Drosophila melanogaster: one gene and its partners. The protein of the gene in region 1 interacts with the protein of each later gene in a pairwise test. Each region holds a gene or a part of one and is shown in the gene's direction. Other genes may lie near its edges.

Evidence for each region.
Region 2: the proteins of CG43658 (region 1) and Frq2 interact in a two-hybrid assay, tested with the Drosophila melanogaster proteins (one large-scale study listed by BioGRID).
Region 3: the proteins of CG43658 (region 1) and Fur2 interact in a two-hybrid assay, tested with the Drosophila melanogaster proteins (one large-scale study listed by BioGRID).

The regions. Positions count from the first base shown.
Region 1 is NC_004354.4:17,558,139-17,562,814, reverse strand, and holds the start of CG43658 (uncharacterized protein), read left to right. Parts: upstream 1-1,634; 5' UTR 1,635-1,986; intron 1,987-4,676.
Region 2 is NC_004354.4:18,176,017-18,180,674, forward strand, and holds the start of Frq2 (frequenin 2), read left to right. Parts: upstream 1-1,595; 5' UTR 1,596-2,075; intron 2,076-2,509; exon of another isoform or gene 2,510-2,668; coding exon of another isoform or gene 2,669-3,418; exon of another isoform or gene 3,419-3,456; intron 3,457-4,658. Other genes in the region: andorra, read right to left, coding at 2,669-3,418.
Region 3 is NC_004354.4:16,371,351-16,376,148, forward strand, and holds the start of Fur2 (furin 2), read left to right. Parts: upstream 1-1,735; 5' UTR 1,736-1,837; intron 1,838-1,871; exon of another isoform or gene 1,872-2,073; intron 2,074-2,279; exon of another isoform or gene 2,280-2,484; intron 2,485-3,190; exon of another isoform or gene 3,191-3,410; intron 3,411-3,575; 5' UTR 3,576-3,705; coding exon 3,706-4,509; intron 4,510-4,574; coding exon 4,575-4,679; intron 4,680-4,741; coding exon 4,742-4,798. Other genes in the region: nonA (no on or off transient A), read left to right, coding at 1-197. UniProt on the Drosophila melanogaster protein: Furin is likely to represent the ubiquitous endoprotease activity within constitutive secretory pathways and capable of cleavage at the RX(K/R)R consensus motif.

The DNA.
Region 1 (4,676 bases):
TTTCATTTCGCAGAACCATTTTTAATTATTCTTATACGTTCTTTATTTTTATATATTAATTATTCATTTAAGTTATATATGAGTAAATTTGTAATGCTTTTAGACGTTCAAGGCCACACTTTTTTTAAGTGCATTCCGGTACGCTGGCGCTTAAAGGAGCAACAGCTGGCGTATGAGTGAGAGGCCAGACGGTGGGAGAGGGGCACCGAAACAGAAGAGAGTGTGAGAAAGGGAAAGAGAGATCCCAGCCGGCGAATGCGCGGCAAAAACAAAAGGCAACGGGAGAAGCTCGGCGAAACAGCTGGCGAAGAAAGTCGCTCTCTTTGGCTTATCTCTTTTTAACCCTCTTCTGCCTGCCATTGCTTTTCTTAACCCTTGCGTATCCTTGTTGAGAGTAAATCAAGCGCTCCACATATTTTATTAAGTTGGAAACCAGTAATAAAGTAGGAAGCTCGCTGCCAGCTGCAGCTCACACACACACCTACACGCACACACTAACCGATGCACTCTTCTCCGGCGCTGGGGTTGCTGTTGTTGCACTGCCTGCTGCACGCGCGAAAATGCTAAGTTGCCAGGAGCGGATTCAGTTGGTTGGCTGCATATATGACAACCAACGAAGATTTTCTAACTCAGTATTAGTTAGACCATCATTTCGAGAAAACAGAAAAGTATAAACTTTTTTTCCGTATCATCGCAGTTATGAACCAAGCAGACTTAATTTTTTTTGTAACAAAACTAATAGATCGGCTTAGATTGATGAACTAACAAAATTAATCAGGTAACCGTATTCCCATAAAACATTGCCTACTTTTTCGGGCATTAGGTAAACTACAATATAAACTATACCCTGCACCGTTTTGAAAGTGATCCGCACCTGTTCTGAAGCATTTTCTGCTCTCTCCCTCGCTTCCCTTCTTCGATCCCACTCTTCGTAGAGGCTCAAAACGTGCGCCTAACAAAATGCCGGTTTAAGTTTTGCGTTGTTTGGCGTATACGTAATGCAAAAGGAGAGCGAGAGTAGTGTGCCGAAAACGAGAGAGTGTGTGAGAGAGCGGAAAAGAGCGCGCGCGTCGCTAGTTGCTTTTCGTCTGATTGGAACTCCAAACTCCAATTCCAGCTCCAACTCCTACTACAAATACAACTACAGCTCCACTGCATCAGCATGTTGTTGTTGCTGCTTTAGCTGTTTTTTGTTTTTGTTTCATCTGGCAGTTCTTGTTCCTTTCCTTCTGCACTCCATTCGCACACTAGCTCAGGTCCACAGCAGCAGTCAAAGCAATAGCAGCTACAACTGCGCAGCTATTAAATGTTTTCAAAATACCAAAGTTCTTAAAAAAATATGTATACTAATTATGTTTTTTTGATAAAATAATGTTTAAGCTATTTCAAAGATTGAAACCAATTTTATGGTTTGTGATGTGCATTGTTAAATTAAATTACTTACTTACTTACACTTACTTTTTAGCAATACTAAGTTCACAATAAACGTCGCTTCCATTCAATCATTAACTTAAAACAAGCTCTAAGCCATTTGGGCATTAATTCTTTTTCCGTGCCTGTGGCGAGCAAACTGCATTTGCGGCACTGCCGGCGTCGTCGACGTGGGGACGTCGCTGCGTCCGTGGGATTCGGCCGCAGTTGGATTTTGGTGCTGCTCGCGCGAGGACGTCTCCTCTCCTTAAACTTCTGCTGGGGCTCTCTTCGAAGAGAGCGCTAATCCTGCGAAGAGCGTCGTTTTTAAGTCGCGATCAGAAACAACAGTAACCACAACCTGGTGGCCAGCAATTCTTACCAGTTTTTAGAAAGAGCCACGAAAAAAATGAAGTAGTGTGAAATATTATATTTTCATTTTGTGTGTGCGTGTGTGTGCGGTTTTCCTTTAATTTCGTTACACTTCTTTTTTTTTGCGATTTTTGTTTATGTGCCAAACTAGTTTCGAGTTCATTGAATTTGCGGCGCCGTTGTCAACCGATCGTTGCTGAAAACGTAAGTGCAGCTTTTTAAGTAGCTAAGGATGCGTTTGCCGCAGGACATTTGCGGTCACGTGGCAGCTGCCGCCACCTGCGAAAACCGCAAAACGAAAAAGCCGCCAAAACATTAGCACTTGAATGGAAAAGTATTTCGCAAATTAGTTAAATAAGGGTTATAAAAGTGGCAGAAAAAGTATTTGTAGTGCACCAAAATTGAATATTTTTTTCCTTAGAACTGGAAGCGTTGTCTGTGTTTTTTAAACAATAATTGGCATGAAATTTCAAAAAATCGAAAATCATATACTTGACCGAAAAAAAAAGAAAAATATTACGTGAATTTATTTTATGTATATTAAGTTGTAACTTTAGGGCTTAAATCGCGATATAAAGTTTTCACATATTATATTTTCTGAACATCTCTTTTTAGACACTTTCTTAAAATACAAATAAATTTCAGAGTTGTCAATTTTTGGGTGAGAGCAGGTTTCCCCTTTTTAGCAGACTCACTACATACATTTATATTAACAACAATAACTTGGCTCTTTTGTCTCACAAGCAATTGGCTCGAAATGTTGTCGCGTCGCCCTTAGCTGTATCCTTTGTTTGGTCCTTGGCCATTAGGATCCCTTTTAATTAAGATGAATAACTTGCAGTTTTTATACGCCACAGAAATCGAAATTTCATCGCCGGCATTTGGTTGTTGCTTTATAAAGAGCTTTAAAACCAAACTTTTAAAGCATGGAAATAATTTAGTTTTTGTCGAAATACGTTAATAAACCTTCAGATAAGATTTACTGTTTGTTTATTTGTTTGTACAATTTATTACTTTGTCCATTTTTTTTTTTACTTTTTGTTGTACTTTGCTAGAAGTTTCCATCTCAAAGCGTTAAGTTTTTCTAGCATTTTGGCACAGCTTAAAAGTTGGCAAGTGCCAAAAGTTCAAGCGCGCTGCTCACCTTTCAATTAGCCGGGAATTCAGAGCGAATCTAATTAGTTGGCCAACATGGTGGTGGAAAGTGACGAGTCCTCTGATTTCCTGGCTCCCTGATTGCTTCCAAAAGCTGATCGATCATCAAAAGACACAACCGCCACGCAAAAAGGTAGCAAAAAGTAAACAAACTAAAAATCAAGCTACCGAAACAAAAAATGTACGAATTCTGGACTGTCGAAATGTTTTGGCAGTTTCAGCAGGGTGCTGTTAAAAAATGAATTCAGGAATTTCAGAAGTGTGGCCAATCATCAAACTGAATGAAGAAAAAAGTGCCCCTTTGGTTGACTCTTCCTGTTACATTTCACAAAGAAACATAAACGAATAGAAAGGAAAGTTGTATATTATAATCTTAGATATATTAACCGATAAATGTCAAAAATGTGTGTGTGACACGCAGTAAAGAATGTTAAATTGAATTAGGGGAAAAAGTATTACAAAAAAAAAAACAAAGTTCTTTGAATACCAGTTCATTACATTTTTTGTACATTACTTGACGAATGTAAGGACCTTTTAAGCAACCGAAAAATGCAAACAATTTGAGCAGCCCTCCGCTGATTTCGCTTATTAACTAAAATAAATCCGTCCAAACGGAAAGGTGCAGAAGGACAGGGCCGTTGGCCAAGTGCTACTGGCCAACTAGCTGACCATTTCCCTGTTTTGCCTTTTTTTTGTGTTTTTTTTTTTTTGTTAGCCTAGCTGCTGCTGCTTTATGTTTGCCTTTTATTTTGGCCACAAGTTCTAGTTAGTACGAGGCGGACGAAGGCGAGTTCATAGAGCCAAAAGAACCGGTCTTGGAAAGTCGTCTAAATGTTTCTCTTACCTTCGGGCACTGCAAGAAAAAACTAATTACGAAATAAGAGATATATAAAACATTTGGTTTAATGTGATCAGACCATCACGGTAGATTTAACTATCTTGGTGCGCTTCGTCACAACGTGGACTGCAAGCCTAAAAGATTTCCTAATCAGTATTACCTAACTATTAAAGTCATGATAAATGAATTAATGAAAATGAGGATGTGCTTCTCGAAAACCAGACTCGGCATGAAGTTCCCATGCTTTTTTATCAGTGCACCTTTTTATCCCCGTCCAAGTCGAAGTCCGAGACTTTTCGATGTCGATGCTGAAGGCCCACTAAAATGTCTGGCTGTGTGAGTGTGCGAGTGTGTAGTGGCTCCTTCCACGGAGTATTCATTCCCAGAGGAATGTGTTAAAGTGTCTAAAGCTGTTTGCCTTCCCCCCGAACGCGCCCCCCCCCTCCCCCACCTCAACCATCCATCCAAATCGCCAAATAGAAAATTCTGAACTCGAGGAGCAGCATAAAATACAAAGCCGAACGCATCAGAATGGCAACGGCGATTTATAAGATAGTCCCACAGAGCGCAGAGGAAAAATAATATCAAATATCAGGGCTTAATTGATTTTTTTCTTCGCCTTTTTACCCCTTTTTATAATGGATCTGACTCATTTGGTAGAGCTTATAAGTTATATAAGCATCATAAAAAGTACATGAAAGCTTTTTAATGCATCAAAATGTTTTTAAAATATGAATTTGCTATATGTGCTCCAATAATCTGTTAAATAGTAAAGTTAATTGCATGTGATTGCTGTTACAAAATGTTGTAATAAAATAGAGAAGGATGTACAAGGCTAAATTGCTACCTTAATATATAATAAAACATACAAGTTCTTAAAAAAAAAACGAAATCTAAATAT
Region 2 (4,658 bases), 620 kb from region 1:
TACACAACCAGAATAAATAAACAGTAATTATAATTGGCCTGTTTCGGTCTCGAATTCGATTCTTTAGGCATCGGCATCGCATTCGAGGCAGCATGAGTGAGTAAGTCGCTGCGGGCGTTGCTGCCGCAATCGACGTCGATGACGCGGTATCGCCCTATCCCCCTCCTCCCGCCCCCCCAAAAAAAAGCGCCCCTCTTAGGTGCGACCATTAAGGCCCCCTCTTTCGTGCACAATTGCGAATTTATTCTTCGCGCGTTCGCTGGCGAACTGCAAATTGAAACGGGAAATGGAAATGCTGCTTCTGCGTCAGTTGATCGTCATAATCAATGATCGGCAGGCAGATACTTCAACCAATCTAATCGGTTCCAAAGAGATCTTAAGAGACCATTTAGTTGATGGAATACATAGAGCAATTGAGAAACCAATCAATGTGTATGTATTGTATGAGCAGCTATAAACTTGTGCTTCATTTCGAAGAACAATGCATTTAATTATAGATTACTTTTCGAATAGCATTCGATGCTGGCAGGAATTTGAACTTAAATACTTTGTTGGCAACTTAACAACTACAGTATATACAGAAGATTTATGGGCATTTAAACGAAAATCAAATGTTTAATTATAATATTGAAAGTGTTGCTTTTTGGCGGCTTTTTGATCCGTTGGCCAGCGTAATATAAAACAAACTATTTAAATTCGAGTGTAGAATAAGATTGGATGATAAGATTGTGCCAAAAATATCTTAAAGATTCTTCTAGTTTTGTTCTCTATTCGAAGCGAATAGAGATGATCCAAGGCAATAAAAAGGCAAACAAATTGATACCGATTCTGTGAAAGGGGGACAATGTTTTCGCTTATTTGACATTTTTTGAAAAATTAAAACAAAAAAATAATGCAATACAGATAAACACATAAGGAGAATATTTAAAGTGGTTTAGCATCTGTAAAGTAATAAAGAGCATTGCCAATTTCTATAAACCTAGTAGTTTATTAGATTTAAGAAATATTTAAATAGTTAAATTCAATTAGTAATTTGACCTTTTGGCCTTTTCCTTGCTGACTTGAGTGTTTTAAGTTCTAAAAATCGAAATGAATGGATTAAAGAGGTTCTATTTGGCGATAGTGTCTGCAGAGTTCGCCTAGGTGTTGTTATATTCAACCGATCTAAACACATGTATATATATATATATACAAATACGAACAGCAGCAGCCCAATAAACGGTTCGTTTGATTTGACTGCCGGCCCGCCTCCGTATCTTTATCTGTATCTTTAGATATAGTATCTGTATCTGTAGCAGGGGCAGGCGTTTTATTGTTTATTTGCCCGCCGCTTTGCCTTTTGTTATTCGCCAGAATTTTTATTATTTACTATATTTAGGCAGAGGCCAAGAGGAAGAGCAACCTGCTGAATAATTAGTCACAGCCCAACCACGACAGGCGGCACCTGCAAGAAATGCAAAGTAAATTCTTCAATTGCTCAATTCCTCAGCCCATCCCTACGCCGACTGCGCTGCTGACGTCGACGCCAACGCCGACGGCGACTGCGACTGAGGCCCAGGCCATTTGTGCGACTGCTGGCATTCGATTGCCATTCGCACAAGTTGCATGTTCGCGACTCGATTTTCTGTTTCGGTTCGGTTTCCTCATTGTTTTTTTTCGGCTTCCTCTATTTATTTTAATTTTTTTCCGAATTTTTGTTTGTTTTTTTGGGTTGCTCGCGTGCGCTGTGCATATTGGAAATCACCACCCGCCCATTTGCCACCCACTTTGGCCAGCAAAAGCAACGCCAAATAACAAATAAAAAAAAAAAAAATTTAAAAAAAAAAAAAACAGCCAGGGAATTCTAATTAAGTGTGCGCGCTAATGCGTTAAACTGCTAGCCAATTTGTTTTAAAGCCAAAGTGAAAAGGCCTTTATAGTCCATTGTTGGCTGCTGTTTGTTGCTGTTTCGCCTTCAATATTTGAGTGGAAATTACATCCATAATTACGCTTAATCAGTCGATTACTGTCATCGCAAACACGAACCAATCCGCAGACCCACCGCCGCGTTTGATGACCACACAAATGAGTGCCAGGTATGTCGTTACTTAGCCCCGGATAAACAATATCACCCCTAACCTCCCAATCCCAATCCCAATCCGAATCCAGCTAACCAGATAATTAGGCAGATTTCCCGCGGTGGTTTTGATGGTCAGGATGGATGGGTGGTATTTTGGGTGGCAGTTTGCGATTGACAATTGGCTTGCAGTTGCATTCGATTTGCGGTCCACGTGCGGTTGCATTTATCTTTGGGCACATACCCTGCGGTTATTACGACAGTTTTAGGTCGATGACTTTGGCATTCCTCGGTTTATCATGGAAAATGCGATTTTAATCATAGTTTCTGGGTTCTGCGATGCGCCGCTATAGCAGCTTGTGGCTATCAATCACATGAAGATCACATTAGGACACCAAGTGATGCATGTACTCGAAAAAGAACTAAGTAAGAACTGATGGCCATCAAAACTTTCTAAGAGCTTATCACACGCTAGATTTTATTGTATGAATATTCAGAGATATAAAATATATGTATAATTGGAATTTGCCAAAGATGCGAAAACTAATTCAATTTAAACGTATCAGCTACAGTAAATAAAGAAGCCAGGAATGAACTGCACTGCTCCTTCGTTTAACAAGGCATCTGAATCTTTTGGTGAGTGGGATTCGTTTCAAGTTGCTGCAGACACAGGCGACACATACGCTTGTAGATGAGGAGCTCGGGTGGGGGAAGTGGTAGCAGTACGTACGAGCCCGTGGGCTCGAAACCCTTACTCCTATATTCCACATAGAGCGACTGCCTCCAGAGTGAAGTTTTTGGGAAATAGCCGATTAGCAGGAAGTCCAAGGACACCCGCCATTCACCAGCTGTCGAGTTTAGGGCCACGGCGAAGATGGCGAACGAGGCGAGCAAGCGGAACACATCGAAGACATCGCCACGCAGGAACAGATTGCGCACTGCGGCCGGACAGCAAAAGATCCAGGAGCCCCATTGACCGCGTCCCAGGGCGATGAAGAGCTCCTCGAAGAGGCTCAGAAAGGATTGCCACAGCTGGCAGTCGATCCAGTGCACCAGCTGGAGCAGTAGCATTATTTCGGACAGCAGCATCAGGATGTGGACGCGGTGACGACACCGGCGCACCCAAAGTGATCGATACTGCATGATGGTCATGAGTGTGCCGCATCCAAAGTAGACTCCCGCCCAGCGTTCATTGTCGCCCACGATGTGCTTAAGCGATGGATCCAGTGGCGATACCATGCCATGGATCAACGGACGCCAGCGATTCCAGCGCACCAACATGCCAATGGCCAGGATTAGCCAGGTCTCGTAGAGATCGCGCAGCATTTCCCACGACATGCTGAGTTCATGATATCGATTCATCTTGGGCTGGAAGGGAATAATTTTGGATACTATGTACTGTGTAAAGGTGGAAAATGTAGAAAATACTGAATATCTACGTGTCGACTACTTTGATTGGCCATCCGGTAGCTTTACTTGTTGGGGATGAGCATAACTACCACCTCATCGCGCAGGTTTATTGATTAGCTTATGTTCTCACCTTAAACAGTTCACGTAAATGAGGCAACAACTGAAGCATCTGTAGTGGCACCTGCAAGTGTTTATGCATCGCTCTCTTTTTGTTTTTCATCTCCTTCTCCCTTGCTCGCATTCCATACTTGTACACACTTTCTAACACACACACACACACACATGTGCCCGAGGCCTAATAGTCGCCACAGTGGACTGGATACTTTAATTTCCCATTCAAAAATATTAACGAAACTTTGCTTACACATATGATTATTTTATTCTATGCAGAAATTTAGTGCTGCATACTTTTAGACACCTTACGAAGTTTTTTAAGTCTTACTCAGTTTTTTATAGCTAATCTTCTTAGAAGTGCCAAGTGGTGAACTAAAGACCCCCCATTGAATTAAATTTCTTTGCATGCACTCAAACGAAGATAAGAAAAATAATTATATCTAGGTATTTTTCTAATTACTGCATTTTCTTGTTTTTTTCCACAAACTGACATTCGCTGCAGGCGCTGCCTCCAAGGTGTCTGGCAACTAGAACTAACCCCATCGTGCCACCACCCCAACTGCCAACTGCCACCTGCCACACACACCCACACACACAACCAATGCCCCCCGTTCTACCCCCTCACCCCCTCTGTCGTCGGGCCGAAGTAAACAGCATTCGAGGGTAGTGTAAACAATCATTGACCTCGTTCATATTTCTTGGAGCGCTCGCTCATTTGCCTTTGGCCCGAGTCCCAGACGTTGACTCTGCCTGGTCGCAATTAAAATTGTTGTTTAGCTAGTTGCCCCCATGGACGACGTCGCCCCCTGGTCACCCCGTCATCCTGGTCCCCATTTACATTCCCATTCGCATTTCGTGGGGAAAACAGAATCATTCGGCAGGCGGCATTTGGGCACCAATTAGCCTTCGAGAAAAGAGGCAAAAATCTGATTCCATTGCGATTTCTCTGCCCCGGCAAATGATGATGAGCACAAGGCACAAAGGCAAGAAGCCAGAAGGAATTAGGAATCAGGAGCTGAAAGCAGCCCAGAGCCCAAAAGAGCCAAATCACGATAGGCTCAATGGCAAAGACACAAGA
Region 3 (4,798 bases), 1.2 Mb from region 1:
CTTCAAACTTCAGCCCACCAGATTTGGATTCGGATATAATTTTAGTGGCATTCGTATTGGAAGAGTTCTCATCTCACGTGTTTTATACGAAAATTGTACAGAAATGTGAAAGCTTTAAGAAACGCACACAGCTTAATGCTCGATCAAATATTATTAAAAAATGCATAAGCAACTTAAATTGGTTAATTGTTTTATGATTAATTCGGGGATATGGAACTGCAATGAGCTGAAATGAAAAGCTTTGAAGATTTAAAAAGTATTAAAACATATAAGCATAAAACCCTTTCAAATAAAAAAGGTTGTATCCAAATGTTCTAAACAAAGTTCTTTTGATCGTAATAATCATTCTAATAGCTTCGTTTTATCGCATTATTTTAGTAAATTTATTTGATCTAACTCGTATCTTATTTAACGGTATCATTCAACAGCTGTTTACCTATGCTACCACCAATCTGGCAACACTGCAAAACCGATCTGAAAACATATTTTTACGCAAGTCAAACTGGCACTTGAATCTATAAATAGCAATCAAAAAGAAAGCTAATAATTTAATATAGGTGAAAAACAGGCAATTTATTTTTATTTATTTTTATTTATTGTTATTTATTGTTACGCAAGTCTAACTGGCATTAAAATCTATAAATAGCAATCGAATAGAAAGCTAATAATTTAATATAGCTGAAAAACAGGAAATTTATTTTTATTTATTTTGGAAACATTCATTTTTTCTATTTCTTTTATGCCGAAACCCGCTCGATTTGATACGTTTTTTCGTATTTCCGGCAACATAAAATAAGTCAGCGATAAGCGAAATTGAAATAAATAATTTAATTTTTATATTACTTCCAAGGCCTTTTTTATTACAGTGCACTTCCAATTTGCGTCTGCTTAAGGTTTGTGTATTACTTCCCATTGGAAACAACCATAACCTGTCCTAACCGCTAATAATTGTTTAATGGTGAAGCAGATATTAAAAAGTAGCGCGTTGCCTTCGCATCTGTTTGTATTTGCGAGCGTGTTTGTGTAGCGATACCGGGGCTCAAGATGCATATGTATGTACATACATTTGGGATTTGCCAAAATCTTTGGCTTAAATACATACATACAAGCAACCAAACATTTATGGGGGATTTTGTGCGACTGGATTCATTTGTTTTTCGGGTCACAAAAAAGCGGAAAATGGAAACGCTAATCTCGGCTAACCAATAACAACGAAAACCTTGCGCTACCGCTAAATGTTATCTCTTGTTTGAATGTCAGCGCTTAGAGAGCGTCTTCGCACGTATGTATGTACGGTACAAACATACGTATGGATGGATGGATGGACAAGCTTCCAGCGGTTTGTGTGTATGTATGTACTTGGCTTGCACGAAAGTTTCAGTTTCCTATCGAAACACGTCTTAAATGTGTATTTATCATCGGCTGTGGTACGAAATGCACGTCGGTGTATGCGTGCGTACGTAATAGTTGATATTTCTCTTTTTTTTTATTGTTACAGCACGGTTGCGTGTTATGTTTTGCATTTTGTTTTGAAAGCTCCGAAAGCTGTGCTTTATGTAAAAACATACGTACACTTGCCAATGTACGAATGTTTGATTGCACGATTGTATGTACGTACGTTTGTATGTTCGTTTGTACGTTAATACTTGGCGTGTGTTTGTGTATGCGGTTAGCACAAATCCAGCGAGAAAGAAACAACCAACGTTGGCTATATGTATTAACTTCAAAATAAAGTTCAGTTTAAGCTGGAGCGCAGTCGAGGTTGCGTCGCTTGTTCGTTCGGTCGGCTTTTTGGTCTTTCGGCTTTCGGCTAGTTCCTATATTGTATGTACGCATGGTAAGCATGCGTTCTCTTTCGCTTTTCAAGTCTCAGTTTCAGTTTTCAGTCTGTTCGATTGCGTTTGCATAGCATTGCATTGATTTAACAATAGCTAAATAAAGCTTAAAGAGTGTATCTGTGATTTATTTCTAAATGTGACCGCTTTGAGCCAATTTGTGCATAAATATGTATGTACATATAATGCTTTGGATTACATGAATCGCTATTGCCATTTCTGATGCACAATGATGTATGTATGTACGCAAAGAGCATACGAATGCATGGCTTGCATTACGTGATTTCATACATCTGTGGGTGTATGTATGTATGCACCATCGAAATGGCAACTCTTACGCATAAAAATTGCAAATGTGTATAAAGCCCCACGGACCCACACAGCCACATAAACATTATCGGACGCAAATGTATACATACAAAAAAAAGTTGGCTTGGTGGCTTAATTGTTGTTGTTGTTTTTTTGTTGATAGTGTGCACACAGTGCGAAATTAGTGTGATTAAATGTGGAGATGTGTGATTTAATAAGCATGTGGGAAATACAGCGAGAGTGATTGAGATGGAAAATGGGAGATGTACAAGCTGAACTTGCCCAGAAACATGTATACACACGTACATATGCATACGTTTGTAGGATTATGCTCGGCAAAGTGAAGTATTTCCTTACAAGCAAACACAGCCATATATGTATGTTTCTTTTTTTAAACGAATGGCACAGTAAAACAGAGACCGGAATAGATGTTGTCTGTACATATGATACTGTTGATATGATACCATAGCCATAATTTAATAGCCTTTTCATGTAGCATATGCGTCTAGCTATGCAATATCGGGCATGCATAACTGCATATCCTATGTACATATGTATATCGAAATATGGGATAAACATATCACTTGACTAACACATATGCATACATGCATACATACATACACATGTACTCATTAAAATTTAAAGATGCGTGCACAAATTTAAACATTGATAATATAAATTTATATGCAGCGCCGTGTGCATACATACATACATATATTATTTTCTAATTGGAAACGCGTTGGCAATGCCTAATTGGTTTGATTATAAAATTAAATTTCTTCATTTGGTCGCAGGTTTACGGTAACTCTCTGATTTTTAATAGGGTTTTCATATAAACAAGCGGGGTTCGATGAAGTGATATCCCCGGTTTCCCGTTATTTGTTTATACCTTTTTTTTTTTGCTTTCAATTGCTACTGAGTTCAGTATAATGCTATTTCAATAAATAATAATGTTAATTCAATTTAAAAGCTCGGGTTCCGTAGTGGTGAATATGTTAATTAGAAACATGATTAGAATGGGCTAATGCATAATTCCCCTATTGCAGACCCACTGCATCTTACACTTCGGGGGACTTTCTGACCGAAAACAATAGAATCAAATGACATGTGGATACACATGTGCATAGATACGTACATATGTATGTACAGAGATATGTACATATATGGCTTACTCATTGTTAACACTTACCTGTAGTTCCCCCCAGGTGATTCTGTTGTGTCATCCGACGAACAATGGATCATCGCAAATAGGCACTTCATTAATAAGTAAGCACAAACCGTTTCGGCCATAAATATCTGTGATATATGAATCATTTTGGCATCTCTGGTTATAAAAAGCCCACGTTTAACCGGTCCAAGGTTTTTATTTGGGTCTCTCGCACAACACAAATTCAATCTACAATTGAAGTGCTTTTTCGTGTTCTCTTGCAGATACTAGATCGTGAGATACGAGATCAAAAAAATAGATTCATGAGTACGACAACAGGAAAGGGAAACGTCGCAAAAGGACTCTTCGGGAGAATCAAACTACCTTAATACCATTAGCTAAACTTAGTTAAATATGTCAAATACGACGAGGTCCAGCCGAGTTACCATCGGTAGAATTGGAACCACGCCACAGATCACAGATCCATGGTCGTCCGGCTTGGAGAAGCAGCGACCTTCCCGCTGTGGAGGCCCCAAATCTCTCGCAGAGCCAACGTACCGAAAGATCGGACGGCGAAAGATGATGCTCCATATGCGAGTCCATGACCCTGGAACGACTGTAACACAAAGAGCAAAAGAAACGGCAACGGCAAAACTCAATAGAATCTATTTATGTACATTTAACCGAATGGCACAGAGCTGTATATATTTTGTATTATTTTTAGTAATCCTAAGCCCAAATACTAGTTGTGCTCTACGGAGTAGTGCGGGTGAGACTCAGAATTATGTCGGAATACTCAGCAACGATAGTGCAACGACCACATATGATGTGTCGTCCCTGCACAGCAGTAGAAGAACAAATCCCCCATCATCATCATCATCATCATCATCGAATGTTGATGTTGATTATCGTAATGACAGAGAGCTCCACAAGGTCGACCTGGTTGGCCTGGGAGGTGAAAGAGCGGGTCAAGCTGAGACCATTAGCGGCGGCAAATACGATTATAACTATGAAAATACTCACACAAATGCCAGTGCGAAAGATGAAATTGTTGAACGGCAGTCAAATAGCCTCGACTTCGACGGGGTCGATATGTTTGGCGCCTTCAGCATTCCGGAAGAGGCGATATACACAAATGAGTTCGCCGTCAACATTCCAGCTGGCAAGCAAATGGCAGATGTTATAGCTACCAAACATGGATTTATCAATAGAGGACAGGTGAGAATGTTTGTCCAACGCTGCAATGGAATTGGTGCTCATACAATTTACTTAATTTTTCATAGATTGGATCGCTGGACAACTACTATCTGTTTCAGCATCACCATGTATCGAAGCGTTCGCTGCGCTCTAGTCGCAAACATCAGGGCGCCCTTAAATCAGAGAACGAGGTGTGTACTCTCTAAAAAAGTATCCAGTTGGAGCAGAGATTTCAATCATGATTGCCTTGCAGGTGAAATGGATGCAGCAACAGCACGAGAAGGTGCGCCGAAAGAGGGACGGCCCGTAC